Anolis sagrei: one gene and its partners. The protein of the gene in region 3 interacts with the protein of the main gene of each other region in a biochemical or structural test. Links are inferred from orthologs where the notes say so. Each region holds a gene or a part of one and is shown on either strand. Other genes may lie near its edges. The genes, in order: DDIT3, SMAD3, CEBPB and ESR1.

The links.
Region 1: the proteins of CEBPB (region 3) and DDIT3 form a complex in vitro, tested with the Homo sapiens proteins (2 studies listed by BioGRID and IntAct, with this or other methods). The link is inferred for Anolis sagrei from reciprocal best matches to the Homo sapiens genes CEBPB and DDIT3.
Region 2: the proteins of CEBPB (region 3) and SMAD3 form a complex in vitro, tested with the Homo sapiens proteins (2 studies listed by BioGRID and IntAct). The link is inferred for Anolis sagrei from reciprocal best matches to the Homo sapiens genes CEBPB and SMAD3.
Region 4: the proteins of CEBPB (region 3) and ESR1 form a complex in vitro, tested with the Homo sapiens proteins (2 studies listed by BioGRID and IntAct). The link is inferred for Anolis sagrei from reciprocal best matches to the Homo sapiens genes CEBPB and ESR1.

The regions. Positions count from the first base shown.
Region 1 is NC_090022.1:185,996,779-186,003,840, reverse strand, and holds the start of DDIT3 (DNA damage-inducible transcript 3 protein), read left to right. Parts: upstream 1-3,978; 5' UTR 3,979-4,492; intron 4,493-7,062. UniProt on the Homo sapiens protein: Multifunctional transcription factor in endoplasmic reticulum (ER) stress response. Plays an essential role in the response to a wide variety of cell stresses and induces cell cycle arrest and apoptosis in response to ER stress.
Region 2 is NC_090029.1:24,707,399-24,715,321, reverse strand, and holds the start of SMAD3 (mothers against decapentaplegic homolog 3), read left to right. Parts: upstream 1-4,740; 5' UTR 4,741-6,167; coding exon 6,168-6,373; intron 6,374-7,923. UniProt on the Homo sapiens protein: Receptor-regulated SMAD (R-SMAD) that is an intracellular signal transducer and transcriptional modulator activated by TGF-beta (transforming growth factor) and activin type 1 receptor kinases.
Region 3 is NC_090024.1:222,094,394-222,101,658, forward strand, and holds the start of CEBPB (CCAAT/enhancer-binding protein beta), read left to right. Parts: upstream 1-4,122; 5' UTR 4,123-4,370; coding exon 4,371-5,441; 3' UTR 5,442-7,265. UniProt on the Homo sapiens protein: Important transcription factor regulating the expression of genes involved in immune and inflammatory responses. Also plays a significant role in adipogenesis, as well as in the gluconeogenic pathway, liver regeneration, and hematopoiesis.
Region 4 is NC_090021.1:72,370,476-72,378,625, forward strand, and holds the start of ESR1 (estrogen receptor), read right to left. Parts: upstream 3,085-8,150; 5' UTR 3,070-3,084; coding exon 3,009-3,069; intron 1-3,008.

The DNA of each region.
Region 1 (7,062 bases), on a different chromosome or scaffold from region 3:
TTTTTGGAAACCTATCAAATGACCTTGAGTGAGTCCCCATCTACACTGCCATGTAATCCAGTTTCTGAACCCAGATTATGTGCTTTGAACTGGATTATATGGCACTGTGGACTCAGCATGGAACTGTTATGTGGTGTTCCACAAGGTACCATTCTATCCCCAATGCTCTTTAATATTTACATGAAGCTTCTGGGAGAGATAATCTGTAGGAACAGGATAGGGTGTTATCGGTATACTGATGACACCCAAAAATATTTTTCCATGCCTTTAAAAACAGCTTTAGCTAAGAATAGCATGCCTCCCCTGAATGAATGCCTGGAGAGGTAATGGGCTGGATGAGGAAAAACAAACTGAAACTGAATCCAGCAAAACAGAGGTGCTTGCCATCAAAGATCCTGATCTGGGGGTGGGGAGGTGTCAACCAGTTCTGGATGGGGTTACACTCCCCTGAATTACTGTGTTCACAGCTCAAGAGTACTCCTGGATCTCTCTCTCCAAATGTCAGCCTAGGTAGATGCAATAGTCAGGAGTGCTCACTATCAGCTTCGGTTGAACCGCCAGCACCACCCCTTCCTAGATTTGGAGGACCTGAAGATGGTAGTGCACGCACTGGTAACCTCAAGGTTGGACTTCTGCAATGTACTTAACACTGGGTTACCCTTGTACCAAGTTTGGAAACTTCAACTGGTTCAAAATGCGGCAGCCAGGTTACGGATCATCTAGGAGTGTGCATATTACACCTATCCTAAAGTCACTCCACTGGCTGCCAATTCGTTTCCGGGCCAAGTATAAAGGTATGGTTTTGACCTTTAAAGCCCTACATGGTTTGGGTCCAGGTTACCTAAAGGATTGCCTTCTCCCATACAATCCGCCTTACACACTTTGGTCTTCTAGGGGGCGTCTGCTCCAACCAGCCAGAACCTGACTAGCGGCTGTCACTCAGGGGACCTTTTCATTGGCCGCCCCAAGATTGTGGAATGATCTGCCGGTAGAGCTCCAACAGCTAAATCTGCTTTTGGAATTTAAGGCACAAATGAAGACCTGTCTCTTCCGACAGGCCTTCCCAGACTGCCTTTAAACATAAATATGAATTTTAATGCATGCCCTTTGTTTAATTGGTATTGTGTTTTAATATGTATTTCATAGAGATACGTTTTGGTTCGTAACTGTTATGGAGGTAAGTTTTAGTGTGTGTGTATCTATAGTGTTTTGCTGTGCTTATGTATTTTAATTGTTTTGTAACCCGCCTTGAGCCATTAAGAGAGCTATGAAAAAATATTATTATTAATAATTGTAACAATTTAATTATTAATAGTCAAACAGAGGCTGGATGGCCATCTGTCAGGGGTGCTTTGAATGCAGTGTTCCTGCTTCTTGGCAGGGGGTTGGCCTGGATAGCCCACGAGATCTCCTCCAACTCAAAGATTCTATTATTCTTATTAAATAATCATATTCAAAGCAGATAATCTGGATTCCTATGGCCCTCCCACACAGCCTTATATCCCAGAATATCAAGGCAGAAAATCCCACATGATCTGAGTGTGGACTCTGATAACCCAGTTAAAAGCAGAGCCAACCTTAAGGAATGAGGCTACAAAGTGAAATCCACGACATGCGAGTGTGGAGAAGAGCAAACCACAGACCACCTGCTGCAATGCAACCTGAGCCCTGCCACATTCACAATGGAGGACCTTCTTGCAGCAACACCAGAGGCACTCCAATGGTCAAAGGACATTTAATAGAATACCAAGTCTGCAAACTTTGTGTTTTGTTTGTTTGTTTTTGATGCAATACAACTGTTTTGGTTTGTGGGATTTTTGGTTTGTTGGATTACTGTAATGCACTCTACGTGGGGCTGCCCTTGAAATCGGCCCAGAAATTTCAATTGGTACAACGGGTGGCAGCCAGGTTACTAACTGGTGCTTCTTACAGAGCAGTCAACCTTCCTGTTTAAGGAGCTCCACTGGCTGCCGTTCATTTTCCGGTCCTAATTCAAGGTGCAGGTTCTTACCTACAAAGCCCTGAACGGTTTGGGACCCACCTACCTGCGTGACTGCATTTCTGTGTACGAACCCACACGATCTCTTTGATCATCTGGAGAGCCCTGCTTGCGCTCCCACCTCCTTCGCAGGCACGATTGGTGAGGGGGAGGGCCTTCTCGGTGGTGGCCCCCCGACTCTGGAACTCATTCCCAAGGACCTCAGACATGCCCCAACTCTGGCAGTCTTTAGGAGGAGCCTGAAAACGTGGTTGTTCCAGTGTGCCTTCCCAGAATAAGGAAAACTCTCAGCAATATGCCCTCAAAATGCACTTTGCCACTGATTTAGGACTGATTGCGTTCCCTCATCTCTTTTTGAAAACCCTATCCCAGTTATATCTTACCTTGTTCATGCCCAGCATTATTTTTTAAATTTTAAATTATTACATTTGGCCCGGCCATTGGTTTTCAAATGCTTGCGTGTTACTGTTTATTGTTTATGTGATTTATATTAATTGGATTGTATTGTTTTTGTTATTGCTGTTGTTATTGATGTACTGTGGGCTTGGCCTCATGTAAGCCGCACGGAGTCCCTTGGAGAGATGGTAGCGGGGTATAAATAAAGATTATTATTATTATTATTATTATTATTATTATTATTTTCTGCCTTAATATTCTGGGATATAGGGCTGTGCAGAAGGGCCCAGAAACTGGATTATAAAGCAACTAGCTGTCCCCTGTCACGCGTTGCTGTGGCCCAGTCTGTTGATCTGGAAAATAATGAGAAAGTGCTGGTTTACAATATTTGTAATTTTTTTATGCTTGTGGGTACAGTATTTCTTGCTGTTTCTTTGTCAGTGTTGATGTGGACAGTGTCTGGTTTGCCCACCCAGGAACATGCAACATATCATTGTCCTTCTTTAAGGGTCCCTTTCAAATCTATGATACTAGATCTCTCTGTGTGTGAATCATATCTATCTATCTATCTATCTATCTATCTATCTATCTATCTATCTATATCTATGGCTGGATGGCTCTTTGTAAGGAGGACTTTGATTATGTTTTCTTGCCCTGATGAAGGGAGTTGGATTGGATAGCCTTAAGTATTTTCTGTTGGTCATGGGGTTCTGTGTGGGAAGTTTGCCTCGATTCTGTCATTTGTAGGGTTCAGAATGCTCTTTGATTGTAGGTGAACTGTGAATCCCAGTGACTACAACTATTTCCCCCAAACTCCATCTGTGTTCATATTTGGGTATATAGAGTGCTTGTGCCATGTTGGTTCAGATCCATCATCGTTTGAGTCCACAGTGCTCTCTGGATGTAGGTGAACTATAACTCCCAAATTCAAGGTCAATGCCCACCAAACCCTTTCAATATTTTCTGTTGGTCATGGGAGTCCTGTGTGCCAAGTTTGGTTCAATTCCATCGCTGGTGGGGTTCTGAATGCTCTTTGATTGTAGGTTAACTATAAATCCCAGCAATTACAACTCCCAAATGACAAAATCATAATTTTTGAGTGATGGTCACTCCTTTGGTGTGATTTCGTTCATTGGTTCTTTTGTTTTTAAGGTACTCATTATGCACAGAGAATTTATATATAGATAGATAAGATGTGGCTCCAGCATTAACCACATACAGTCTGCCCCTGAAAAACCTCTAATAAAGGGTGTCAAACTGCAATAACTTCATGGAGGCACACCACTACAAGCCATCTCCATGGGTTGTTGGATATGCAGGATCTGAGGAGGCAGGAGTGCTGCTCCCCCTCCCCAACGCAGCCACACTTTCCCCAGGGAGGCCTGGCCCTTTAACGCACAAGGTGGGGCGGGGCGTGACGTCATAAAGCCTCTCCGAAGGAAGGCCTCTCCTAACGTAGCTAGGCCTAGTCCCCCTTCAGTCGCGCTAACTGGGCCTCCAAACCGCGGAAACAGTGGGGTGGGGGAGGTAGGAGAAGCCACGAAGGTCCGTTCAAGCGAGTGTGGCGGGTGGCCAAGGTCAGGGCCCGGGCCTCGGGTTGCCAGGCCGTTGCATCACCCTCCTCGCATGACTCACCCCCTTCCAGACTCGTGACCCTGAAAGGGCGGGGAGAAAAAGGGAGGAGCTTGAGGAGAAGTCACTTCCGGGAGCGACGCGGCAGCTTCCACCTCACTCCCGCTGGGAGGAAGAAAAAAAAAAAGAGTCCAGGCGGAGGCGGGGCCAGAAGGCGACGGCGACGACGGCCATTGGATGAAAAGAAGCGGCGACGGTGATTGGTCCGGCGTGGCGCAAGAGTTGCGTCATGCGGCGCGCGCTCGAACGTCTACCCGGCCCCCGGAGCGAGAGGAGGCAGTTGGCATTTGGACGCCGGCAGAAGCGCACGGAAGGAGAGAATGAGCATCGAAGGGAGAATGAGCCAGAGCCAGCAGCAGAAGAGAGGCGGCATCACAGGCGAGAAGGAGATTCGCAGGAAGGTGCGGAGCGATGAAGGGAAAAGTCCTGGGGGCCCTGGCCTTCATGAACTCCTTCAGCTAAAGGGTGGGAAGGGCTTTTTTAGGCCTTTTATTTCTTCTCCTCTAAGAGCCCTTCCACACAGCATAATATCACAGAATACCTGCTTTGAACTGGGTCATCTGAGTCCACACTGCAACTCTAGGATTCTATTTATTTATCTGTCTGTCTCCTTCTCTGAAGGTCTTTAAGCAGGGGCTGGATGGCCATCTGTCAGGAGAGATTGAATTGTGTCTTCCTGCCTGAGTCCACACAGTTCAGAGCATAATATGGGATTTTATTCAGCTGTGTGGAAGGGGCCTGAGAGAAATAAAGGATTCCCCATGCTAAAACTGAGGGCCCTTCCACACAGCCCTCTATCCCAGAATATCAAGGCGGAAAATCCCACAATATCTTCTTTGAACTGGGTTATCTGAGTCCACATTGCCATATATTCCAGTTCAGAGCATAATGTGGGATTTTATTCAGCTGTGTGGAAGGGGCCTGAGAGAAATTCGTAAATAAAGGCGGTAATCAGGATTCAAACTGAGGGAAGGCTTTTGGGTGCATTCACACTGTAGCATTACTACTAATATATCATCATCATTATTGATATATAAACCAAATAATATAAATACTTTAATATATATTAATATAAATCATAACATATAAATAATATAAATGATGACATATAGGTTGGTAAAGGTTTTCCCCTGACATGCAGTCCGGTCGCGTCCGACTCTGGGATGTAGTGCTCATCTCCATTTCTAAGCCAAGGAGCCGGCATTGTCCATAGACACCTCCAAGGTCATGTGGCCGGCATAACTGCATGGAACACCGTTACTTTCCCGATGGAGCAATACCTATTGATCTCACATTTGCATGTTTTCGAACTGCTAGGTTGGCAGAAGCTGGGGCTGACAGCAGAAGCTCACACAGCTCCCAGGATTCGAGCCTGTGACCTTTCGGTCAACAAGCTCAGCACTTTAACCCACTGTGGCACCAGGGGCTCCTAAATAAATAATAATAATAAATATGACATATAAATAATAAGTACATAAATCACTATTAATAATATTGTGATATATTAATAATAAATCTACACTGTGAATGCACCCAAAGGCCCTCCAGGCCTGCCAGCCATTTGAATCCTGATATTATATTATATATATTACTAGCCATCCCCTGCCACGCGTTGCTGTGGCCCAGTCTGTTTGTATATATGTGGTTTTGCGCATGCGTTGTAATTTATTTTTTATTTTTGGCTTTTTAAGTCTCTTCCGCTGTGTTTTTCAATGTTTTTATGAGTGATGGTCACTTGTTGGCCTGATACTTGTATTGTGTTCAAATTTGGTGTCAATTCGCCCAGTGGCTTTTGAGTTAGGTTAATCCCACAGACAATTATGCTGGGGAAAATGGAAGGAAAAAGGAAGAGGGGCCAACCAAGGGCAAGATGGATGGATGACATCCTTGAAGTGACTGGATTGACCTTGAAGGAGCTGGGGGTGGGCTGGTCCATGAGGTCACAAAGAGTCGGAAACGACTGAACAAATGAACAACAAAATCCCACATTACATTTTTATTTATATAGATACAGTGTTATACATTATAATAAATTACAAATACCATTATTAATAATATATTCTAAGTACATTATATATAAGATAAATATATTATATTATTATAATTAATAATACTAAATGTTATCCACCTCTGTTATTTAATGTTATAATGTGTTATATATAACAAATAACATTATTATTAATAATATATTTATTGTATAATAAATAATATACATATTATACATAATAAAATTAATATATTTAATTATTATATATAATTAAATGTTGTTTGTTACCCGGCTCTCTTCACGGATTGATGCAGGGCACAAGATACATTGATGAAACAATTGTAAAAAAAAGTGCTAAAAATCATAGAGCAAAGATTAAAACACCAATGCTGATAAAATGTACAATTATAAGTTGGATAGTAATACAGCTCAACACTACTTTTAACTGTTATGGAATCAAGGCAGTTGTAGTTTGCCGAGGAACTGAGGCTATTTGGCAGAGAAGGTTAAAGTCCTTGTAAAACTACAGCTCTTATCTTTCCATAACACTGAGCCATGGCAATTAAAGAGGTATCAAATGGCAGTAGATGAATATATTCTGAGGACCCACATGAAACTGTGGGTCCTTTAGTTGCTTCAAGAGGGAATAGATAGGGCACAGCTTGGTTCTGTGGTTTGTAAAGACTCGGTGTTTCCTGCTCAGCTTTGCAGAGAAGAAGACCCTGCTAAGAGATCTAGGTGCACCTGTTCTGTAGAATTAATGCATCTTAACACCACTATAACTGCCATAGTTCAAGGTTATGAAATCCTGGGAGTAGGGGACACCAGTACTCTTTAACAAAGAAGTTGAAAGACCTTGGAAAATTGAAGCTCCCATGATTCTGTTGCCATTATACAACGGTGTCTGACTGCTTTATTTACACCTTCTATTGTGCTAAAGTAGCTGGCTCTGATGGTACACATCTTTTCCCAAAAAATATGTTCTGCTGATTCTTGGTGCAAGTAATGCTAGAAACCAAATCCTCACATATCTGTCTTGCCGGGTAGA
Region 2 (7,923 bases), on a different chromosome or scaffold from region 3:
TTGTATTGTGTTTTGAGGCTTCGGCCTGTGTAAGCCGCATCGAGTCCTTCGGGAGATGCTAGCGGGGTACAAATAAAGTTAATAATAATAATAATAATAATAATAATAACATCCCTGTTTGACACCTGATTCCACCTTAAATGGGAGATGTAGTTTGATAAGGTCTGTAGCTTTCTCTCTTGAATAGAGAAGGCAACATCAAACTACATCTTCCAGGGTTCTGTAGCATTGAGCCCTGGCAGTTCAAGTGGTGTCAAACTGCATTCCTTCTGCAATGCAGGTGCACCCTTCGACCTCGTAAAACTACAACTCCCAGAATTCCATAACACTATGGTGACTGAAGTGGTGTCAAACTGCATTAATTCTATGGCATAGATATGTTACCCTATGTCTTCAAAGCCCAGCCATGCAAACTATTTTGAATCACTAGCTATTGACTGACTCCAGAAATCCTCCGTCCCATAAAAATGTCCAAAAAATGCAAATGTGTTCCTGGAGTAAAGACTCTCCTTTAATCTGCATCCAGCAGACAAGGAACAAAGAGTCATTACAGGGCAGATTCAGGAAAACAGGGCTCCATTCATAAAAATAAAAAAATATATTGACTTGTGAAAGACTTTGGGGTAGAGCTTTTTCACCCCCGCTCCTTGTTCTTTAAACACTCTCTCGGATATGGAATGCCCAGTTCGAGAAGGAAAGGGAAGATTTTTTAAACAGATGTGTTTTGGCGAGGCAGCGAAGGCAAACACTGAAATTATATGGGAGGAACAGACGGTTGTGTGCAGGGATTACGCAAAAAGAAGGGAGTGAGAGGAAAGAAGGAAGGAGAAAGCAAAAAAAGTCAAGGCAGGCAGAGAGGGAAGAAGAGAAGAGAAGAGAAGAGAAGAGAAGAGAAGAGAAGAGAAGGAAAGAAAGCAAGGAGAGAGGAAGGAAAGGAAGGAAGGAAGGAAGGAAGGAAGGAAGGAGGAAAAAAGCAAAGGAAGGCAGAGAGGGTAGAAAAGAAGGAAGGAAGGGAGAAAGGAAGGAAGGGAATCGAATCAAATTTCCTTTCCTTTATTTTTGGGGCCAAGAATTGATCCCTGAATGCATGTTGTCCCTTGCCATCCGCATTCATAGGCTGACCATTTCGTAGCTGATTGAAGAACATTGTTTCCACTCCACTTTTATTTATGTGTTAAGAGACATATGTGGGTGTGTATAAATGTGTGTGTGTGTGTGAGATACACACACACACACATACACACACACACACACATACATATAAGCTAGACACATAAAACCATTTATTAGGATCTCCAAAGTTTAGTTAGTTTTGTTATTCCGGGGCTGGGCAGCTCAAATTCTCCGCAAAAATATTAGCTTTATTTTAAGTGCTTTTCCAATACATCAGCTGCGGAGAATGGCAATGCACTTTTCCATCTCAAGGCCCCAGAGACTTTGCGTATATTCGTATTTTGCAGAAAATGCAAGCTCTAGGAGGTGCTGAAAAGCCGTCCTCGTCATTGAAAAAAAAGGGCAAAAACACTTCGATTTACATAATCCCCAAAGGCACCGGCCAAAAAAGAAAAAAGGGAGTCCAGACGGTGTAAAAGTAGGACGGTTCTATCCTTTTCCTTCTCTTCTGGTGAAGTTTTCCATTAGGAAAGTGTCCAGAAACTCATTGCAAGAAAGCACCGCTGTCTGGGGAAAGGACTGGCCAACCTTTTGGGATAGGAAACTCCACAGCCCTTTGAAGGTCCTTGGACTGAAAGTCCCAGCAGCCATGACCAAACATAGGTTAAGGGAATGCTAGGAGTTGTAGTCCATCTACATCTTTGATGGGTGGGGGATGTTTCTCACTTTGCTGCATTTGCAGGTCAATCATATAGTTTGCAGATATTTCTTATCTGCCACCACCATAGAAATGAGACCCAAATGGAGTCCTTGTTGTTTCTTTATGCTCGTTTAAAGTTGTTAAGAACTTGTTTAGGGTTGTTCAGGGTTTGTTTTGCACATTTAGTGCCTTTTTAAGATTGTTCAGGACCAGTTTTGCCCATTTGGTGCCTTTTTAAGGTTGTTCGGTGCCTGTTTAGCGTTGCTCAGGGCCCATTTTGCCCATTTGGTGCCCTTTTAAAGTTGTTTGTAGCCTGTCTAGGGTTGTTCGGGGCATGTTTTGGCATTCAATGCCTTTTAAAGGTTGTTTGGAGCTTTTAAAAAGTTGCTCAGGGTCTGTTTTGCCCATTTGGTGCCTTTTTAAGGTTGTTCGGTGCCTGTTTAGCATTGCTCAGGGCCCATTTTGCCCATTTGGTGCCCTTTTAAAGTTGTTTGTAGCCTGTCTAGGGTTGTTCGGGGCATGTTTTGCCATTCAATGCCTTTTAAAGGTTGTTTGGAGCTTTTAAAAAGTTGCTCAGGGTCTGTTTTGCCCATTTGGTGCCTTTTTACGGTTGTTTGGAGCCTGTTTAGGGCTGTTTGGGACCAGTTTTGCACATTGTCTTTTTAAGGTTGTTTGCAGCCTGTTTAGGGTCCTTTTGGCCCAGTTTTGCCCATTTGGTTCCTTTTAAAAGTTGTTTAGAACTTGTTTAGGGTTATTCAGGGTCTGTTTTGCCCATTTGGTGCCTTTTTATGGTTGTTTGGAGCCTGTTTCGGGTTGTTTGAGGCCACTTTTTCCCATTTGGATGGAGACCAAGTGAGGGAAATGACCAGCTGTTAGGGGCTGTGGGAATTGAAGTCCAAAACACCTGGAGAGCTGACGTTTGCCCATGCCTGGTCTAAAATCAGGTTGTCTACTTGAACACAGAAGAAGAAGAAGAAATAATAATAATAATAATAAGGAGAATGAGAAAGTTAAGTTGGAGGAAGAAAGCCAGAGAGAGAGAGAGAAAGCAAGAAGGAAGAAAGGTGAGAAAGGAAGCAAAAGAAAAGCGATAGCAAGTAGAGAATGAAAGACGACACAAAAAGAGAAAGAGAAGAAAAGGGGAAGGAAAAGGGGAAAACAAAAGAAGAAAAGATAGAGAAGAAAGGAAGCAAGCGAAGGAAAGTAAAGAGGAAATGGAGAACGAAAGATCCAAAAAAGAGAAAGAAAAGACGAAAAAGAGAAGAAGGGGAAAACAAGAGACGAAGGAAAGATAGAGAAGAAAGGAATGAAGCAAAGAAAGAAAAGGGGAAATTGGGAACGATAGACAATAGAAAAGAGAAAGAGAAAAAGAAGGAAAAGTGAAGGAAAAGGGGGAAGTCAAGGTGGGAAAGGAAGAGAAGAAAAGAAGGTCGCCAAAGAGAGAGAAATGATCAAGAAGGAAAAGAAAGTGAAACAACACAATAATAAAAAGGGAGCTGCAAAGGAAGAGAAAGGGTTTTTGTTGTTCATTTGTTCAGTCGCTTCTGACTCTTCGTGACCTCATGGACCAGCCCAGGCTAGAGCTCCCTGTCAGCTGTCACCACCCCCAGCTCCTTCAAGGTCAAGCCAGTCACTTCAAGGATACCATCCATCCATCTTGCCTTTGGTTGGCCCCTCTTCCTTTTTCCTTCCATTTTCCCCAGCATCATTCTCTTCTCTAAGCTTTCCTGTCTTCTCATGATGTGGCCAATGTACTTCATCTTGGTCTCTAATATTCTTCCCTCCAATGAGCAGTTGAGCTTTATTTCCTGAAAGATGGACTGTTTGGATGTTCTCGCGGTCCAAGGCACTCTCAGAACTTTCCTCCAACACCACATCTATATTCCTTCACTCAGCCTTCCCTATGGTCCACCTCTCACATCCGTAGGTGACTACAGGGAATACCACTGCTTTTACTATGCGGATCTTCGTTGAAAGGGTGCTGCTCCATTATCTGGGTGGAAGCCACAAGGGGGCAATGGAGGGAAAAGGATAGTCCATTTTACACGAGGGGGCGGGGGTGGCAGATTGAAGGAGTAAATCTATTTCCTCCAGTGTTATCCCCCTTACCCATGTTGCTGTTGTTATGACATGGGAAGAATGGAAATGGGACGGAAATAGTTTCCGCCCTACAATTCCCCCCTTGGAAAATGGACTATCCTTCTCTGCCTGGCACCCCCTTGTGGCCTCCGCTGGGATAATAAGAAAGTGAATGCGAGAAGAGATAGACCAGGCATGGGCAAACTTCGGCCCTCCCTCCAGGTGTTTTGGACTTCAACTCCCACCATTCCTAACAGCCTACCGGCTGTTAGGAATGGTGGGAGTTGAAGTCCAAAACACCTGGAGGGAGGGCCGAAGTTTGCCCATGCCTGGTCTATCTCTTCTCGCATTCACTTCTCGCATTCACTGGCTGTTAGGAATGGTGGGAGTTGAAGTCCAAAACACCTGGAGGGAGGGCCGAAGTTTGCCCATGCCTGAGATAGACAAAAAATGAGAAGGAAGCAGAAAGGGAGGAAGAAAAAGGGAGTTCAAAACAAAGAGAGTGAGCAAGGCAAAAAAGTGAAAAGAAAGGAAAACAAAGGAGGTGGGAGAGAGGGAGAGAAGCTAAGAAGAGACAAAGAGAAGGACCAGCAAGTTGAACAAAGGGAGGGAAAAGGAGAAAGTATAAAAAAGGGAAAGAAGAGAGAACAAAGGAGGGAAGAGGAAGGAGAGAGAGAGAAAGGAGGTCGAGAAAGGGAAAGAGAGGGAGGCAGCGAAGACAGGAGGAAGAAAGCAAGAGAGAAAAGGGAAAGCAAGGAGGCAGCCTCCCCCTCCCCTTTTTGCTCAGACTAGAAAGGGGAGGGGGAGGGGAGAAGGGGAGGGGCTTGCCCAAGCCACGCCCCCCTCCTCCGCGTGGGAGCCCCTCCCTCTGCCGCCGCCGCCGCCGGAGAAGTCGGGACAAAGTTTTGGAGCTGGAAGAAGAGAAGGAGAAAGAGATAGAGGAGGAGGAGGAGAAAAAGAGAAAGGAGGAAGAGGACGAAGGAGAGCTTCGCTTCGTCCGCCTTCGGAACTTGGAGCCCCGAAGGAACCCGCCGGAGTTTGGCCTTCCCCCTCCCTCACTCCTCTCTTTCTTTCTTTCTTTCTTTCTTTCTCTCGCTCTCCTTCCCTTCCCCTCCTCCTCTTTCCTTCCTTATATTTCCTCCTTTCTCTCTCTTTCCTTTCTCTTTCCTCTCTTTTCCCTTCTCCCTCTTTCCTCCTTCTTTTCTCTCTCTTTCTTCCACATTTCTCTCGCTCTCCCTCACTTCTCCTCTTTCTTTTTCTCTCCTCCCTCCCTCAATCTCTTCTTTTCTCTCTACCCCTCCGCTCTTTCCCTTTCCTTCCATATTTCTCCCGCTTTTTCCTCTTCTTCTTTTCTTCCTCTCTTTCCTTCCCTTCTTCCTCTTCTTTTCTCTCCCTTTCCTTCCTCCCATACTTCTCTCTTTTTCCCTCGCTCTCGTCTTCCTCTTCTTCTCTCCTTCCTCCTTCCCTCGCTTTCCTTCCTTCCCTTCTTTGCTTGTTCCTCTTCTTTCTCCTTCCTTTCACTCCTTCTCTATCCTTCTTTCCATATTTCCCTCTCCCTACCTCCTTTTTTCCTCTTCTTCTTTCCTTCCTCCATCTGTCTCTGTATTTCTCTCTCCCTCCTTCGCTTCATCCTCTTCTTCTCTCCTTCCTTCCTTTTTCCTTTCCTTCCACCCTCTCCCCTTTCTTCCCCTCCTCCTTCCCCTCCTTTTCCTTCTATCCATATTTCTCTTTCCCTCCTTCTCTTCTTCCTCTTTCCTCCCTCCCTCCCTCTTTCCTTCTTTATTCCCCCTTCCTCTCCCTCTTTTTTTCTCCTTCTCTTTCCTTCCATATTTCTCTCTCCCTCCTTCACTTCTTTCTTTCCTCTCCCTCTTCTTTTCCTCCTTCTTTCTTTCCTTACATATTTCTCCCTCCTTCGCTTCTTCCTCTTTCCTCCCTCCCTCTCCTTTTTCTTCTTTATTCCCCCTTCCTCTCTCTTCTTTCCCTCCTTCTCTTTCCTTTTCCCCTTATTTCTCTCTCCCTCCTTCACTTCTTCTTTCTTTCTTTTCTCTCCCTCTTCTTTTCCACCTTCTCTTTCTTTCCTTCCATATTTCTCTCTCCCTGCTTCGCTTCTTCCCATACTTCTCTCTTTCCTTCCCCTCTTACTTTCTCTCCCTTTCCTTCTTTCCTCTCCTCTTTCCATCCACATTTCTCTCCCCCCCCCCTCCTTTGCTTCTTCCTCTCCCCCTCCTCCTTTCTCTCTCCTTCCTTTCTCCTTCCTTCCTTCCCTTTGGCCAACATGTCTTCCATCCTGCCCTTTACGCCTCCCATCGTGAAGCGGCTGCTGGGCTGGAAGAAGGGCGAGCAGAATGGGCAGGAGGAGAAGTGGTGCGAGAAGGCGGTCAAGAGCCTGGTCAAGAAGCTCAAGAAGAGTGGGCAGCTGGACGAGCTGGAGAAGGCCATCAGCACCCAGAGTGGAGGCACCAAGTGCATCACCATCCCAAGGTGGGCCCCGTGCACACACAAACAGAGCAGGGTTGCATCCACAGTAGGCCTTGGCCAACTTGGGCCCTTCCAGGTGTTTTGGACTCCAACTCCCACCATTCCTCACAGCCTCAGGCCCTTTCCTTTTCCCCCTCAGCCGCTTAAGCGGCTGAGGGGGAAAAGGAAAGGGCCTGAGGCTGTGAGGAATGGTGGGAGTTGGAGTCCAAAACTTTGGTTTTGCAGGAGGGTTATCCAGCTATAGCACATTTTCTAATAGTTTTTCTATGAATCTCTCATCATTGAGTCTCAACCGATGCAAACTACTTTGTGGCAGCCACGAAAACAGAGTTTCTGGAGTGCAATAACTTCTTTCAAAGTCAGGACCACACAATTAAACAGGAAATAACACTTTCAAACCAGGAAAATAACATTTTAAAAGTTTGTTACGTAGTGTGACGGATTTGATTCCAAATGTCCTCTAGGAATCTCTAGGGCATGTTGATGTCATGCCTTTGAGGCCTGCCTCCTTTTGTGCCATGGTCATACCATTTTTCTAAGAGTCACACAATATATGTAACATAGGTAAAAGTAAAAGTTTTCCTCTGACATTGTCCAGTTGTGTCCGACTCTGGGTTGTGGTGCTCATCTCCATTTCTAAGCCGAAGAGCCGGCATTATCCGTAGACACCTCCAAGGTCATGTGGCCAGTATGACTGCATGGAGTGCCGTTACCTTCCCGCTGGAGTGGTCCCTATTGATCAACTCATATTTGCATATTTTCGAACTGCTAGGTTGGCAGAAACATACAACACATTACGGTTGTAATACATGTATATACCTATGTATGGTGTCCCCGGTAGCACAGCAGGTGAAACAGCAAAGCTGCTGAACTTGTTGACTGAAAGGTCGGCAGTTTGAATTTGGGGAGTGTTGTTGAGCTCCCACTGTTAGCCCCAGTTCTGCCATCTATTTATTATTATTACTATTATTGACATCATTATTATCACCATCATTATTATTGACATTATCATCATCATCATTATTTTTTATTGTTGACATTACTATTGTTACTCTTATTATTGTCATCATTGTTGATATTTTTATTATTGTTACATGTACATGCCTGGCTGAGGGGAGTTGGACTAGATGCCCTTTGGGGACCTCTTCCAATGGAGTCTCCTCTAGAATTTTTTGAACTGAGGTTGAGTGGCCATCTGTTGGGAGGGCTTAGACTGTATCTACTTACCTGGCTGAAGGGGGTTGGACTAGATGCCCTTTGGAGACCTCTTCCAGTAGAGTCTCCTTCTCTAGAATTTTTTGAACTGAGGTTGAGTGACCATCTGTTGGGAGGGCTTAGACTGTGCCTACCTACCTGGCTGAAAGGGATTGCGTTGGATTAGATGCCTTTATGGAGACCTCTTCCAGTGGAGTCTCCTTCTCTAGAACTTTTTGAACTGAGGTTGAGTGACCATCTGTTGGGAGGGCTTAAACTGTGTCTACCTACCTGACTGAAGGGAGTTGGATTAGATGCCCTTTGGAGACCTCTTCCAGTGGAATCTCCTTCTCTAGAAT
Region 3 (7,265 bases):
TTCAATTCATCCTTCTTGAAAGCACACTCTACACGCTTATTCCAAAATGAGTTCAATTACATTTGATGGATCTTAGTTCCTTCCCAGTTTGGTGTCCTGTTGGACTAACAACTCCATCGTTCCCATTTGCCATGACTATGTTTATCTGGCGTAATGGGAGCTGATGTAGTAGTTTGGGGTGTTGTGCTTAAGACTAGGGTTTGAACCTTTGCTTTACCTAGAAACTCAGTAAGGTTCTTGGGCAACTCACACTCTCTCAATCTTGGAGGAAGGAAAAGGAAAACCCTCTCTGGACAAGTCTTTCCAAGAAAAAACAGTAGAAGTCGAAAATTATTTGAAGGTACAAAACAATAGCAATAAGGTTGGTGGAAGACTGCAAGCAAGCATGTTTTGAACTGCGGCCTGAAACACATAAAGGAAACTACGACAAATTTGGTGAACTGGATCCATTTACTTGTGGACTCAGAACAGTTTTTTTTAATTGTGTCAGAAGTGAATTGAGAATATACTGCAAGTCGCTTCTGGTGTAAGAGAACTGGCCGTCTGCAAGGATGTTGCCCTGGGAAGGCCCGGCTGTGTCACCATCCTATGGGAGGCTTTTCTCTTGTCCCTGCATGTGAAGCTGGGGCTGACAGACAGGAGCTCACTCCAACTTGCAGATTCGAACTGCCAACCTTCAGATCTTCAAGTCAGTTGGCACAAGGGTTTAACCCATTGCGCAACCACGGCTCCCACTCAGAACAGTATCTAGCAAGAAGGGCAGAGAGTGCATGCCAGGTATTGCATTTCTCCCCTTCTTCCAAATTCCTGACATCTCCACTCTCCAGGAATAGAATGCTGGGTGTGCCAGTTTCCAATGGGACTTCCTCTTCACCAGAGATTGGCCAAGTTCCTCTTTGAGCTACAGCTACCACTAGACCTTCTCTAGAAAGTAACTTTGCGGAGGCCTCAACATATTGCGACCCACTGGCACAGTGGTCTTAGGTGTATTTCATGAAGTCATAGAGTTGAAAGAGGCCACAAAGGCCATCCAGTCCAACCCATTCTGTCACGAAGGAACATATAATGAAAGCACCCCTGACAGATCGCCATTCAGCCTCTGCTTAAAAACCTGCAGAGAATGAAACTCCACCACTCTCTGAGAAGGCAGCATATTCCATTGCCCATCACTTCCTATTAGGACACATAAATAAATTCCCATTGAGCTTGGTAGGACAACTCTGCCACATGAACAATACTAAAGACAATTCTTATTTTATCCTTTCTTTCTTAAAAAGTAGAACGATGCCAAATTGATGGTGCCTTTTCCAATCTGTGCTCCAAATGGATCTGTCTGTCCAAAGTCACTTGCAAAGATCTCTCCCACATCAAAGAAAACAGACTCTCAGGCAGAGAAGTTGCAACGTTTTCCTCCTTGGATCTTATGCTTGAGGAAATGACCTCCCCCCACGCTCTGCCATCAAACCACATCTTGTTTTTATTTCAGTGGCCCTCGGTATCTACTGGGATTTGGTTCCTATTATATACAACTCACATTATAAACAGGGTAGCCAAAAGTCATAAAGAGGGTTACATATTTAATAACACCATAGAAAAGGCAAAGGTTTCCCCTGACATTAAGTCTAGTCATGTCCGACTCTGGGGGATGGTGCTCCATTTCCATTTCTAAGCCAAAGAGCTGGCGTTGTCTTTGGTCGGCATGATTGCATGGAGCGCCGTTACCTTCCCGCAGAAGAAGTACCTATTGATATATTCACATTTGCATGTTTTTTTTAACTGCTAGGTTGGCAGAAGCAGGAGCTCACCCTGCTCCTCAGATTCAAACCACCAACCTTTCAGTCAGCAAGTTCAGCAGCTCAGCGGTTTAACCTGCTGCACCATCAGGGGACCCCTATCATTCACATATGAAAAATGCATTACATGATGTGGCCCACCCTATGCAATGATATTGGTGTCCATTAAAATGCAAAAACCAAGCTTGGATATACATTTTTGGTCAGATCTATGGATGCAGAACCTGTGGATATTTGGGGGCGGGGCAGATAAGGTAGCAAAATAATGTCTAAATGATAGACAAATGCAAAGACAAAGGTTGGAATAAAATAATATATTTATTTATTTATTATTTGAACTTATATGCCGCCACTCCCCTGGGGCTCGGAGCGGCTTACAAGAACAGGCTAAAATCGAACACAAAAAATTAAACATTGCAACCTTGAATTTTGGAATCATACACCCATATTTCCACCTTGATTTTTGGAATAATTGAATTGAAATATATGTACACACACACACACACACACATTCCCACTTTGATTTTTGGAATATTTGAATATGTATAAACATGAAAGGTTGCAGGTTTGAATCTGGGGAGCGGGGTGAGCTCCCACTGTTAGCCCCATCTTCTGCCAACCTAACAGTTCGAAAACTTGGAAGTGTGAGTAGAGCAATAGGTACCACTCCATGCGGTCATGCCGGCCACATGACTGTAGAGGTATCTACAGACAACGCCAGTTCTTTGGCTTAGAAATGGAAATGAGCACCACCCCCCAGAGTCAGATACGACTCTATCTATCTATCTATCTATCTATCTATCTATCTATCTATCTATCTGATATGTACATACATACATACATACATACATATAAAACATGCATATTCAATTATTCCAAAAACTCAAGGTGGGAACTTGTATGCGTGTACATACACACACAGCATGATTTTTGGAAGAAGTGAATGTGATACACACACACATACCCAACCTTGAGTCTTGATTTTTTGCATTTGTAGATAATGGACACTATTATACTATCCTATACAGAATGGAATAGTGGCAAGCTGAGGAGAGTTGCAAGTAATGACAGTGGTCGCAGGTTTGAATCCGGGGAGTGTGGTGAGCTCCTGCTGTTAATCCCAGCTTCTGCCAACCTAGCAGTTTGAAAACATGCACATATGAGTAGATCAATAGGTACCGCTCCATGCAGTCATGCCGGCCATATGACCTTGGAGGTGTCTATGGACAATGCTGGCTCTTCAGCTTAGAAATGGAGATGAGCACCACCCCCCAGAGTCAGACACGACTGGACTTAAGGTCAGGAGAAAACCTTCACCTTTACCTATCTATCTACCTATCTATATATAAACGTGCATATTCAATTAGTCCAAAAAATCAAGGAGTGGGTGTGTTGAATAACGCATATTCAATTATTCCAAAAATCAAGGTGGGAATTTGTATCCGTGTATACACACACACACACACACACACATGCTGGCACACACACATACACACCTTGATTTTTGGAATAAGTGAATGTGATATACACACACATACCAAACATTGAGTCTTGATTTTTTGCATTTGTAGATAATAGACACTATTATACTATCCTATACAGAATGGATACACACACACACATACACACACACATGCTGGCACACACACACACACCTTGATTTTTGGAATAAGTGAATGTGATACACATATACAGACATTCCCAAACTGAGTGGGTGTGTATACATATAACGCATATTCAATTATTCCAAAAATCAAGGTGGGAATTTGTATGTGTGTATACACACACACATGCTGGCACATACACACACACACCCCTTGATTTTTGGAATAAGTGAATGTGATACACACACACACATACCAAACCTTGAGTCTTGATTTTTTGCATTTGTAGATAATGGACACTATTATACTATCCTATACAGAATGGATATATATAGATATATATAGATATATATATATATATACACACACACACACCTTGATTTTTGGAATAAGTGAATGTGATACACATATACAGACATTCCCAACCTTGAGTCTTGATTTTTTGCATTTGTAGATAATGGACACTATTATACGATCCTATAAGTGGCAATCCGCGGAGAGTTGAGCCCGTGCGGGTTCAGAGACCTCGGAGGCGGTGTCCCGGGACGGGAGGCGTCGCCAAGAGCTGGGGAGCCTCCCCCTTGGGCCAGCCCTCTGCGCAGGCGCAGTAGAGGCGCGCCGGGCTCCTTGGGCGTCCCTCCTTCTGCAAGGAAAGGAAGGAGGGAAGGCTTGAGGAAAGCAGGAGGGAGGCGGGCGGCGCGTGCGGGCCCGTGACGTGTGGCGGTTGCCATGGGACGCGCCGCCCCTATAAAGACCCGCGCGCCAAGGCACTTTCCCAACAAAGTCCAGAGAGGAGGAGAGCAAAGAGGAGAAGGAAGAGGAGGAAGAGAAAGGGAAGGAGGCAGCGTGAAACCTTGGGAGGAAAGGAAAGAGCAAGGGAGAGGGAAGGACGAAAGAGAGGGTTTAGAGAGAGGCGGCTCCCCTTCCCTCCCTCGCTCCCTCCCTGCGTGGACTCGGGGCTTTGGGAGCTTTCATGAAACGCCTGGTGGCCTGGGACCAGGCATGCCTCCCTCTCCCGCCCTCGGCCTTTAAATCCATGGAAGTGGCCAACCTCTACTACGAGACGGACTGTCTGCCGGCGGCCGTGAGCAAGCTGCACGCGCGGGGAGGGCCCGTGGGGGCCCCGCGGCCCATGTCCGAGCTGAGCCTGGGCGAGCACGAGCGGGCCATCGACTTCAGCCCTTACCTGGACCCGCTGGCCTCGCAGCACCCGCACCAGCACGCGCCTCCTCCACCCGCGGCCACGGCAGGGGGCAACTTCGAGCCGCTTCCCTCCGGCAACAACCACAACAGCAGCAGCAGCAGCAACCCGGACTTCCTCTCCGACCTTTTCTCCGAGCAGGACTACAAAGCCGGGAAGAAGCAGCAGCACCAGCAGCAGCAGCAGCAGCACCCCGACTACACCTACATCAGCCTGGCCAAGCATAGCCACCACCCGCACCTCCACCAGGGCCAGAAGGCCTCTCTCTTGGGCTGCTTCTCGCCTCACATGGTGGAGACCAAAGTGGAGCCCGTCTTCGAGCACTTGGACTCGTGCAAAGCCGGCCCGCGCAAGGAGGACGCCGGCGGGGGAGGCGCGGCGGCCCTCGGGGGCCTCTCCTCGCCTTACGGCAGCGCCGTCCGCTCCTACTTGGGCTACCAGTCGGTGCCCAGCGGGAGCAGCGGGAACCTTTCCACCGCCTCTTCCTCCAGCCCGCCGGGGACCCCCAACCCTTCGGATTCCTCCAAGTCCGGAGGCAACCACTACGCGGCCTCGGGAGGAGGGAGCAACGGCGGCGGCGGGAAGAGCAAGTCCAAGAAGTCCCTGGACAAGCACAGCGAGGAGTACAAGATCCGGCGCGAGCGCAACAACATCGCCGTCCGCAAGAGCCGCGACAAGGCCAAGATGCGCAACCTGGAGACGCAGCACAAGGTGCTCGAGCTCACCGCCGAGAACGAGCGGCTCCAGAAGAAGGTCGAGCAGCTCTCCCGGGAGCTCGGCACCCTCCGGAACTTGTTCAAGCAGCTCCCCGAGCCCCTCTTGGCCAACGCCGGGCACTGCTAGCCCGCGGAGACTCGGCCTCCCTTTGGACTCCCTGCTGGGAAAGGGATTGGGGAGAGGAGGGGGGGGGGCAAAGGATGCCAAAAAGAGAAGCCAAAAGGGCTCTTCCTCCTCCAGAGTGGAATGCAGAAACAGAGGCTGGAGGGCCATCTGTCGGGGGTGCTTTGAATGCCATTTTCCTGCTTCTTGGCAGGGGGTTGGACTGGGTGGCCCATGAGGGCTCTTCCAACTCTGTGATTCTATGGAAAAGTTTGGGGTTTGTGGATTTGTTGTGTTGCCTTTCTTCCTGCCTTCCCTTCTTCTCCAAGGAGGCCTCCTTTAGACTACTTTCTCAAACTCTTCCCGGCCCAGCATGTTGGACTTCAGCGCCCAAATTCCCCGCACATTAGTCCTGGGAGCTGAAGTCCAAAGCGCATGGCAGAGAGAAGGTGATAGTATGATAGCTGGGTCCGAAGCTCTGAGCCTTACGCTGTTTCTGCTCCTTTGGGAGCACTGTTTGCGCAACGCAGAACAAACACAGATATTATAGAAGGAATGTAAGAGTTCTTTAATGGTAAAACCCTAACCCTTATGCAAAACCTTACCCTTACCCCTAATCCTAGCCCAAACCCTAATCCTAACCCAAACCCTAAACCTTACCCTAAGCCTAGCTCCTAACCCCTAATCCTAACCCTACCCCAAACCCTAACCCGAAACCTTATCCTAACTCTCCCCTCCTTTCTGTCCTTCCACCAAATGCAACTACTAAGTATATTCCCAGCGTCAGTGTTCTGCTCTCCCCTTCCCTTATCCGCATCCGCCATTGCGGAATGTGCACAATGCTCAGAGCTTCCGGACCCAGCTATCATACTATCACCAAGAGAAGTTTGTACATTGTGGAATTGATTCAGTTCAATGTGTTGTCAAAGGCTTTCGTGGCCAGAATCACTGGGGCCCCTTCCACACAGCTGAATAAGATCCCACGCTATCTGCTTTGAACTGGATATATGGAAGTGTGGACTCAAATAACCCAGTTCAAAGCAGATATTGTGGGTTATTCTGCCTTGATATTATGGGAGATAAGGCTGTGTGGAAGGGCCCTGGGTTGCTGGGTTGCTTTCCCAGGCTGTATGGCCATGTTCCAGAAGCATTCTCTCCTGACATTTCGCCTGCATCTATGGCAGGCATCCTCAGAGGTGGTGAGACCTCTGGAACATGACCGTTCAGTCCGGAAAACTCACAACAACCCAGTGGTTCAGTTCAGTTGGAGACCACTTTTGACTGCCATGGCTCGATGCTGCTAGAACCTGGGAGCTGCAGTTTCCCAAGGTCTGCCAAAGAGGAGATTAGCACCTTAGGGAGTTGAGCATGTATCAGGCCAACTTGAGCCTGCCAGGTGTTTTGGACTTCACCTCCCACAATTCCTAACAGCCTCAGGCCCCTTCCTTTTCCCCCTCAGCTGCTTAAGCGGCTGAGGGGGAAAAGGAAAGGACCAGAGGCTGTTAGGAATTGTGGGGCTTGAAGTCCAAAACACCTGGAGGGCCCAAGTTGGCCCATACCTGATCTACACACTGTAGAACTAATAATAATAATAATAACAACAATAGCAATAATAACTTTTATTTGCTATCTGCCTCTCCTCACAGCTTGAGGCAAGTAAAGACAGTGGAGTTTCCATCTCTGGAGGGTTTGGATGGCCATCTATCAGGAGTGCTTTGGTTTATGGCAAGGAGTTTGAACTGCATAGTTTTTGTGGTCTCTTAACCTTTTCTGAAAATGGATAAAACAAAGGACCATAATAATAATAATTTGTGTTTCAAATAATAATAATAATAATAATAATAATAA
Region 4 (8,150 bases), on a different chromosome or scaffold from region 3:
CTCCACCACACTCTGGGGCAGAGAGTTCCACTGCTGAACGGCTCTCACAGTCAGGAAGTTCTTCCTCAAGTATCTTTTAAATGGTGTTACATTTTAATTTATATCCTAGCCTAATGTAAATGCTGTGGTTATGTGGACAGATGATTATAAGATGGAATTCTATACTGGTTACCAAGCATAAATAAAGATTTGATAAAGAGCACTTCCTGACCAACCTAAGATTAAATGGACTATGAAATCAGGATTTGAAACCCACCTAAGCTATAGAAATCCATTGGGTAACCTTGGGCAAACCGCATTCTCTCACTTTAGATGAAGCGATGGCAAATCTCCTTTGAAGAATGTTATTGCAAAAAAAATAGACTAAGGCAGGGGCACTGTAAATCAGAGTTGAATTAAAAGCATATAACAACAAGAAGAAGGGTAGCAGTGAAATAGTACATATTCCAAATATAGTCTACTCCATTCAAATGCTATATTTAAGGCATCAGACAGGCATATGAGTGTATGCTTAATCATTAATTTTAATGTGAGGTTCCATTAGGTATTTATATCACCATAAATTGGCAGCAACATAAAAACTGCAACATTGCACATTTGTATTCTCAAGAGGGGAGCAAAAGCGTAACTACGTTTCTGAGACCATTGGAGGAATGGAATCAACATCATGGATCCCATTGAGCACTGGGCACTTGATTGCTATGCAACAGAAACCATAATTGTGCAACAGGGCAATGTGTAGAAGTTCATGATACACATCATCACAATTCATTTTAAAAGGTTGTATGTTTTAAATTGTGGGTGGGACAGAGAGCTTTCATTCCAGTGTGTTATTATAACATAAAACTGGGTCTCAAGATGGCTAATCTGCTCACTGTCTGAAACCATTGTTTCACCTCTCAAAAAAGAATGTTTTTCTATTCATCTACAACACACACACACACCATAGTGTTGTAACACACATACATAACAAAAATCTAGTTTAAACCACAGCCCTATTTAATACATTAGAATATCCAACTAAACCAACTATTAATGTATTCTTTTTCATAGTAAATTATTTAATAAATTAAAATGTCAATTGATTAATACTGAAGTCTGAAGACATAAGCTATCTGAAATGATTACAGGTTTAAGGTAAAGTAAAGGTAAAGGTTTCCTCCGAATGTATTCTCCCCTACGAACCATCAAGACCACTAAGATCGTCTGGAGGGGCCCTGCTCTCAGTCCCTCCGCCTGCACAAGCACGGCTGGTGGGGATGAGGGACAAGGCCTTCTCAATGGTGGCCCCTCGACTTTGGAACTCCCTGCCATTAGAGATCAGAACTGCCCCCTCCCTCATGACGTTCAGGAAACTAACAAAGACCTGGTTGTGGAACGCGGCATTTGACAACTGATTTAATTCTTTGCCCACATGAAAGGAGGATGATGAATGGGATTGTGATGGTGTCGGACGATTTGGCTCTTTTAACTGTGATGATAATGTTTTAACGTGTATAGTGCTGATATTTTAACCGTGTAATGAAGTGGCATTGTGTTGTTATTGTATATTTTTTGTATGTTAACACATGTTGTGAACCGGTCCGAATCCCTCTTTGAAGGTGAGAGGGTCGGTATATAAAACCTCGAAATAAATAAATAAATAATAAATAAGTCTAGTTGTGTCTGACTCTGGGGGTTGGTGCTCATCTCCATTTCTAAGCCGAAGGGCCGGCATTGTCCGTAGATGCCTCCAAGGTCATGTGGCCAGCATGACTGCATGGAGCGCTGTTACCTTCCCACCAAAGCATTACCTATTGATCTACTAACATTTGCATGTTTTTGAACTGCTAGGTTGGCAGAAGTTTGGGCTAACAGCGGAAGCTCACCTCACTCCCTGGATTTGGACCACCGACCTTTCGGTCAGCAAGTTCTGCATCTCAGCAGTTTAACCTTATTACAGGTTTAGATTGTGTAAAATCACATTTCCTATTTTTTTCATTGAGAGGTGGCTACCCTCTTTTTTTAAACTAAGGCACTTTCTGTATAAATTCAAAAACTTTCTTCTTATCCAACAGTCAGCTTGGTCCAATAAAAATGTTCATGTTTTGTGTCTCATATTTGGGGTGGAGGAAATATGTCATTGCATGTTAAGACTAATAATATATTTGGGGAAAGGGGAAACCACCACATTGCACAAAGAAAATATATTCAAGAAGACATAATATTTAACAAACTCAAAACATTTACACAAAATTATATGAGCAGTAAAATTCTACCATATCAATTTTAAAAATGTAGCCAAAGCTAAAAGAGAATGCTCAAATAGGCAGTAGGTATAGATGAATAAATGAATAATTTTTTAGCCCTCAAATTCAAAATCATGCTGCATTAAAATGTTAATACATTTTTCTTTGATAGTAAAAATGTTTTATGACTACAGAAGTTTTTTATCATTCCCCAAGCCCCTGTTACAACTTGCAGAGTGTGACTTAATGTCCTTTTAAGTGAAAGGTGCTAATCCTCTGGTTTAAGGCTAGAGTTATTTAGGAATAAGAGAAAACTGCCTTCAGATTGAAACCTTATGTGCAGTTGGTCAAAATGAGATCATGTGATCCTTGCTGTAATCACTTCCTCTTTAGATCCCCGATTGGTTACAGTGGGGGCTGTGGAGGGGGGTGGCACACAAATCTCCAGCAAATAGGAACTGCCGTGCTGTCGGAGCAAATACAGAAGGGAAATTCCTGCAGTGGGCACCTCTGTACACATTTCATAGCATTTCAAATGAATGCCCTTCTCTCTTTTTCCCTTCTTTCTTTTTATGCCACGTTTACACTATGCAAAAAAAATATATTAAAGGACTTCACAAATAAAAGCGACCTTGGGAAAAAGACAGCTGTAAAGAAAGCTTTTTAATTATTTCCCCGGGCACCAGAGTTTATGCTTAGCACATTGAAATGGCAAAGAGCAATAAAAAGGTGAGCATTTGAAGAGCAGAACAGGAAAAGAGCTGAGCTATTTTGACTTACTTTTATCCCAGAAAGAAGTTTCCATTGCTCCTGTGGTCCTGCAATTGGCTGACAGGGTCATGTGACCTTGTAAACGAAAATAGAAAAGCCTCGGCAGAGTGAGACCGAAGGAAGAGAAGGCAGAGGGAAGACATGAACTTTAAAACACACAAGTCATGCCAGCTGTGTTGGCACGCCTATTATGTAGAGCAGAGTTCAGTCTCCTTGCATTTAAATGGGGACATCCAATAAGGAAGATATCTCTCAGTGATAACCCGAGAGGACCTTACTTTTCATTCTCCTCTTGACTCTGAGATGTAGATTTTATTCCCCTCCCCTATTTATATACTAATATTGTTGCTGATGTATTAGGGAGAATTATATGGCCTGCATGACTCACTTCTCAAGAGCATGTGTTCCCTGGTTATGATTCTGATGTATTGCAAAGTCAACAACTGACAACCATATCTATTTCTCACATAACAGCTATTATGTTTTAACCACAATTTATCATTGAAGTGAAAGTTTAAAACTTACCCTTTAGTATCACATTATGCCCGATCTCTGCTGACACTAAAATGTAGCTTTGAAATGACTAAAAAACCAAGGCAGCTACTAAATGCATGCCAGTAATACACTTCAGTGTGTATTTAAGGGCATACAGCACATTAATGAAAATTGCAGGAAAGTTTGAATTCAGTAAAAAAAAAATGGTACTGCAGCAAATGCCAGCTCCACAAAATGCAGCACAAACTGTAGACACTCGACCATACTGAAACACATTAAAAAGATCCCAGAACAGGGGCTGCCGAGAAGCACCCCAAGGGCATGGTTGGGCAGCATGGGGCTAACCCAGCCATGGGCAAACTTGGGCCTTGCAGGTGATTTGGACTTTAACTCCTACCATTCCTAACAGCCTCAGGCCTTTTCCGCTTAAGCGGCTGAGGGGGAGAGCCTGAGGCTGTTAGGAATGGCAGGAGTTGAAGTCCAAACCACCCGCAGGCCCCAAGTTTGCCCATGCCTGGGCCAGTCGGTACCCTGGGAGGGGTAACTGATTATCTTTGCCTCTGCCTGTTCCTTTTTTTTTCCACCCTGTATGCCTCCAGAGGATGGATGCACATCTCTCTGAGAATTTGGGAGGGGGGGGGGGCACAGAGTGGTTTAAGTCCAGGTTCTGTGTTTAATTTAATCATTTTCCTGGTCTCAAATCGGTTCCAGACTAATCCAATCTAATCACTGCAGAGTGAAACTGGTTCCTCCCAAGCTCCACCTTGTAGTTTAAGATCCACCGGGGAGGCCCTGCTCTCAGTCCCACCAGCCTCGCAAATGCATCTGGTGGGGACGAGGGACAGGGCCTTCTCGGTGGTGACCCCTCGCTTGTGGAATTCACTCCCCAGCAAGATTAGATTGGCGTCCTCCCTCCTTTAGGAAAAAATTGAAATCGTAGTTATGGAACAAGGCTTTTAGCTAGCAGGCACAATGGTACTTTGGACATTGAATTGGACCATATGATGATGGTTATAATAATAGAAATGGCTACTATGACTGTTTAATTCATGTTATTGTTTTAATCTATTGTGTATTTATGGTTTTTGTATTATTGTATATTGTGATATTATGACATCAAATTGTTGCCAATGTTAGTTGTTCTGAGTCCCCCCTCGGGAGTTGAGAAGGGCAAGGTAGAAATGTTGTAAATAAATAAATAAATAAATGTGGTAGTGTAGATGTGTTTTATGACTTATTCTTGCACTTCTTTTCTTTTTTCACATTATATTAGCACTACCTGATACATGTTCACATAGTAGGTATTGGATTTTAATTCAGTATATTAATGCAGCTCTAAACAACAGACATAGGTTTGTCTGTACAGGTTTCTTACATCCAATCTAAATAAATTTAAGCAGATATTCATATGCTTTCTAATTCTAATATTACTTCTTAATGAAGATTTCTGCATTTATAAAAAGAAATGCCTTCCAAATTGTCTCTCACCAGTAGAATAATAAGACATGGAGACATAATGTGGTAAGTCTCAGGCAAAGATTCAATAATCCCTGTTCAAATTACAGTTTACTGCCTTGTGTGGTAAAGCCCATAGTAAGCATATTACAGTCATCCTTCCACATTTGCTGTTTCGACTTTTATGGATTTGATTATTCATAGATCTGAGAAAAATTATTCACAGATTTGAATTCTTGGAAATCACTATCTCCTTCAGTGTAACCTTCCTCATGTTATGCTTGAAGATCTTGAGCAGTGCTTCCCAAAGAGTGCAATATTGCCCCCTGGGGGCACTGGAATGATCCGTGAGAGCAGCAGTAGCCTGGGTGCAATGGGGGCAAGCACTTAATAAAAAATAAGGCAGAAGAGGCAACATAAAGATCGAGGAAAATTTTGAAAAACCAGTCATACACGTGTCATCTGTTGTGTAACACAGAGTTAAAGTCGTAATGATTACTTCATTTCCCAAATGAACACACAAAATGCAAGTTCCAACTGGTCACTAGTCAAGTCTGCCGGCGGATCTTAACAGGCAAGTGTTAACAGGCAAGTGCACACATCTGCAAGAATACATTTGTATGAAGACTTGTTATAGAATATCATAGTTCACTACTTAATAGTCACACTTTTCCCCACCTATGAGCTAGCATATGAAGAAGACCCCATGGGCCTCCTCTGCTGGCACACATAGGCAAACAGAACTTACAGGACCTCCTTTGGTTACCGGCAGCTGAGGGAGACCTCATAGGAGTTGCCCACTGGTGTGCATGGGCAAGTGAGGCCTACAGGATCTCCTTTGGCATCTGAGAGAGACCTCATAGGCATTGATCACCCACATGCGACAGTGGGTGAGAATTACGGAGTCTCCTTTGGCTGTTGCCAGCAGCTCACCCACTCACACACCTGCCGAACAGAGCTATGCAGTGTGACCATTAGTGATCACACATAATGATGATGATAATAATAATAATAATAATAATAATAATAATAATAATAATAATTTTATTTCTTACTCGCACCTCCCCATGGCTTGAGGCAGGTCACAGCACAGTAAAAAACATATGAATACTATGAAAATTCTACAAACACACATATTATAATACAGTTCCATAAAAGAGGTAGATAAAACATTTGTATAAAATGCACATTAATCACACAGGACAGAGACAGAGGCAAAACAGGACATGACTTTAAAATTGATGTTTTCAGCTTTCTGAAAGATACAGGTTTTTAGATGGTGTTAAAATTTTAACAGCTGATCTAGCTATCAGAGCTCTTCCAGTAGGTCGTTCCACAGTCTTGGGGCAGCCAATGAAAAGGTCCTCTGGGTGACAGTGGCCAGTCAAGTTCTGGCTGGTTGGTGTAGCCACTCCCATCCCCCAACCAGAGGACCAAAGCATGTGGGGCAGATTGTACTGGAGAATGTTTCTCCTTGACATTAAGTCTAGTCATGTCTGACTCTGGGGGAGGGGGGGTGCTCATCTCCATTTCAAAGCCAAAGAGGCAGTATTATCCATAGACACCTCCTAGGTCATGTGGCCAGCATGATTTCATGGAGCGTCATTACCTTTCTGCAAAAGTGGAACCTATTGATCTACTCACATTTGCATATTTTTGAACTGCTAGGTTGGTAGAAGCTGGGACAATAGCAGGAGCTCACCCCGCTCCCCGGATTTGAACCACCAACCTTTTGGTCAGCAAGTTCAGCAGCTCAGCGGTTTAACCCACTATGCCACTAGAGAGTCCTGTAGGTAACCTGGACCCAAACCATAAAGCAAGTTCTTTAAAATGCATCTAGACAGCCTCATAAAATCATCAAATGTCTGGAAAAATATTAAGGTTAAATTTTCAGTGCAAATGTTCACACAGTTGATTTAAATATCCTGTTGGAATAAATCCATAAACATTTTAAAATCCAATCTCTTCTTGCAAAGATACATGGTGTAGTAAACAACCCTTACCCTTTTTAGAGAAGTATACATTTGTCGAAATTGAATATCCAGATGGCAGATGTTTTTCAGTTTACTGCCATGTCTGTGTGGAAATTACTGTATAAATCAGTAATGCAGACAGTATGCATTGTCTGACCTAAACTGATCTTTTATTTACTAATTTTCTCCAATTAAGTAGTTAAAAAGTTATCCCATCAACATAAGCACAGTTCAGACTGGCAAAAAAAAAATGGCTACAACTACATTGGTTACAGCAATTGGATTGCAGCCTGCATGAGGTCTGCATGTCACTGCTGGACAATGAGCACAACCATCTGGCCCACTGCTGAAGTACCCTGGGATAGCAGCGATGGACTCAAAAGCTCTCCTCCAACAGGGAGCAATGGGGTTTCAGTCAAAGCTTAAGCTACAGCAGACCTGCTTACTCCCCCCCCCCCCCCACACACACACCCCAAACTGCCTGAGTCTAGGTCAGTGTTTATCAACCTCGGGGTCGGGACCCCTGGGTTGCGAGGGGGGAGTCAGAGGGGTCGCTAAAGACCATCACACAACACAGTATTTTCTGTTTGTCATGGGGGTTCTGTGTTTCTTTCATTCTCTCATTGGTGTTCAGAATGCTATTTGATTGTAGGTGAACTATAAATCCCAGCAACTACAACTCCAAAATGGCAAGATCTATTTTCCCCAAACTCCACCGGTGTTCACATTTGGGCATATTGGGTATTTGTGTCAAGTTTGGTCCAGATCCATCATTGTTTGAGTCCACTGTACCCTTTGGATGTAGGTGAACTACAACACCAAAACTCAAGGTCAGTGCCCACCAAACCCTTCCAGTATTTTCTGTTGGTCATGGGAGTTCTTTGTGCCACATTTGGTTCAATTCCATCATTAGTGGAGTTCAGAATGCTTTTTGATTGTAGGTTAACTATAAATCCCAGCAACTACAACTCCCAAATGACAAAATCAATTCCCCCGCTCCCAACCCCAACAGTAATCAAATTTGGGCATATCGGGTGTTTTTGCCAAATTTGGTCCAGTGAATGGAAATATATACTGCATATCAGATATTTACATTACAATTCATAACAGTAGCAAAAATACAGTTATGAAGTAGCAACAAAAATAATGTTATGGTTGGGGGTCTCACAATAATAATAATAATAATAATAATAATAATAATAATAATCTTTATTTGTACCCCGCTACC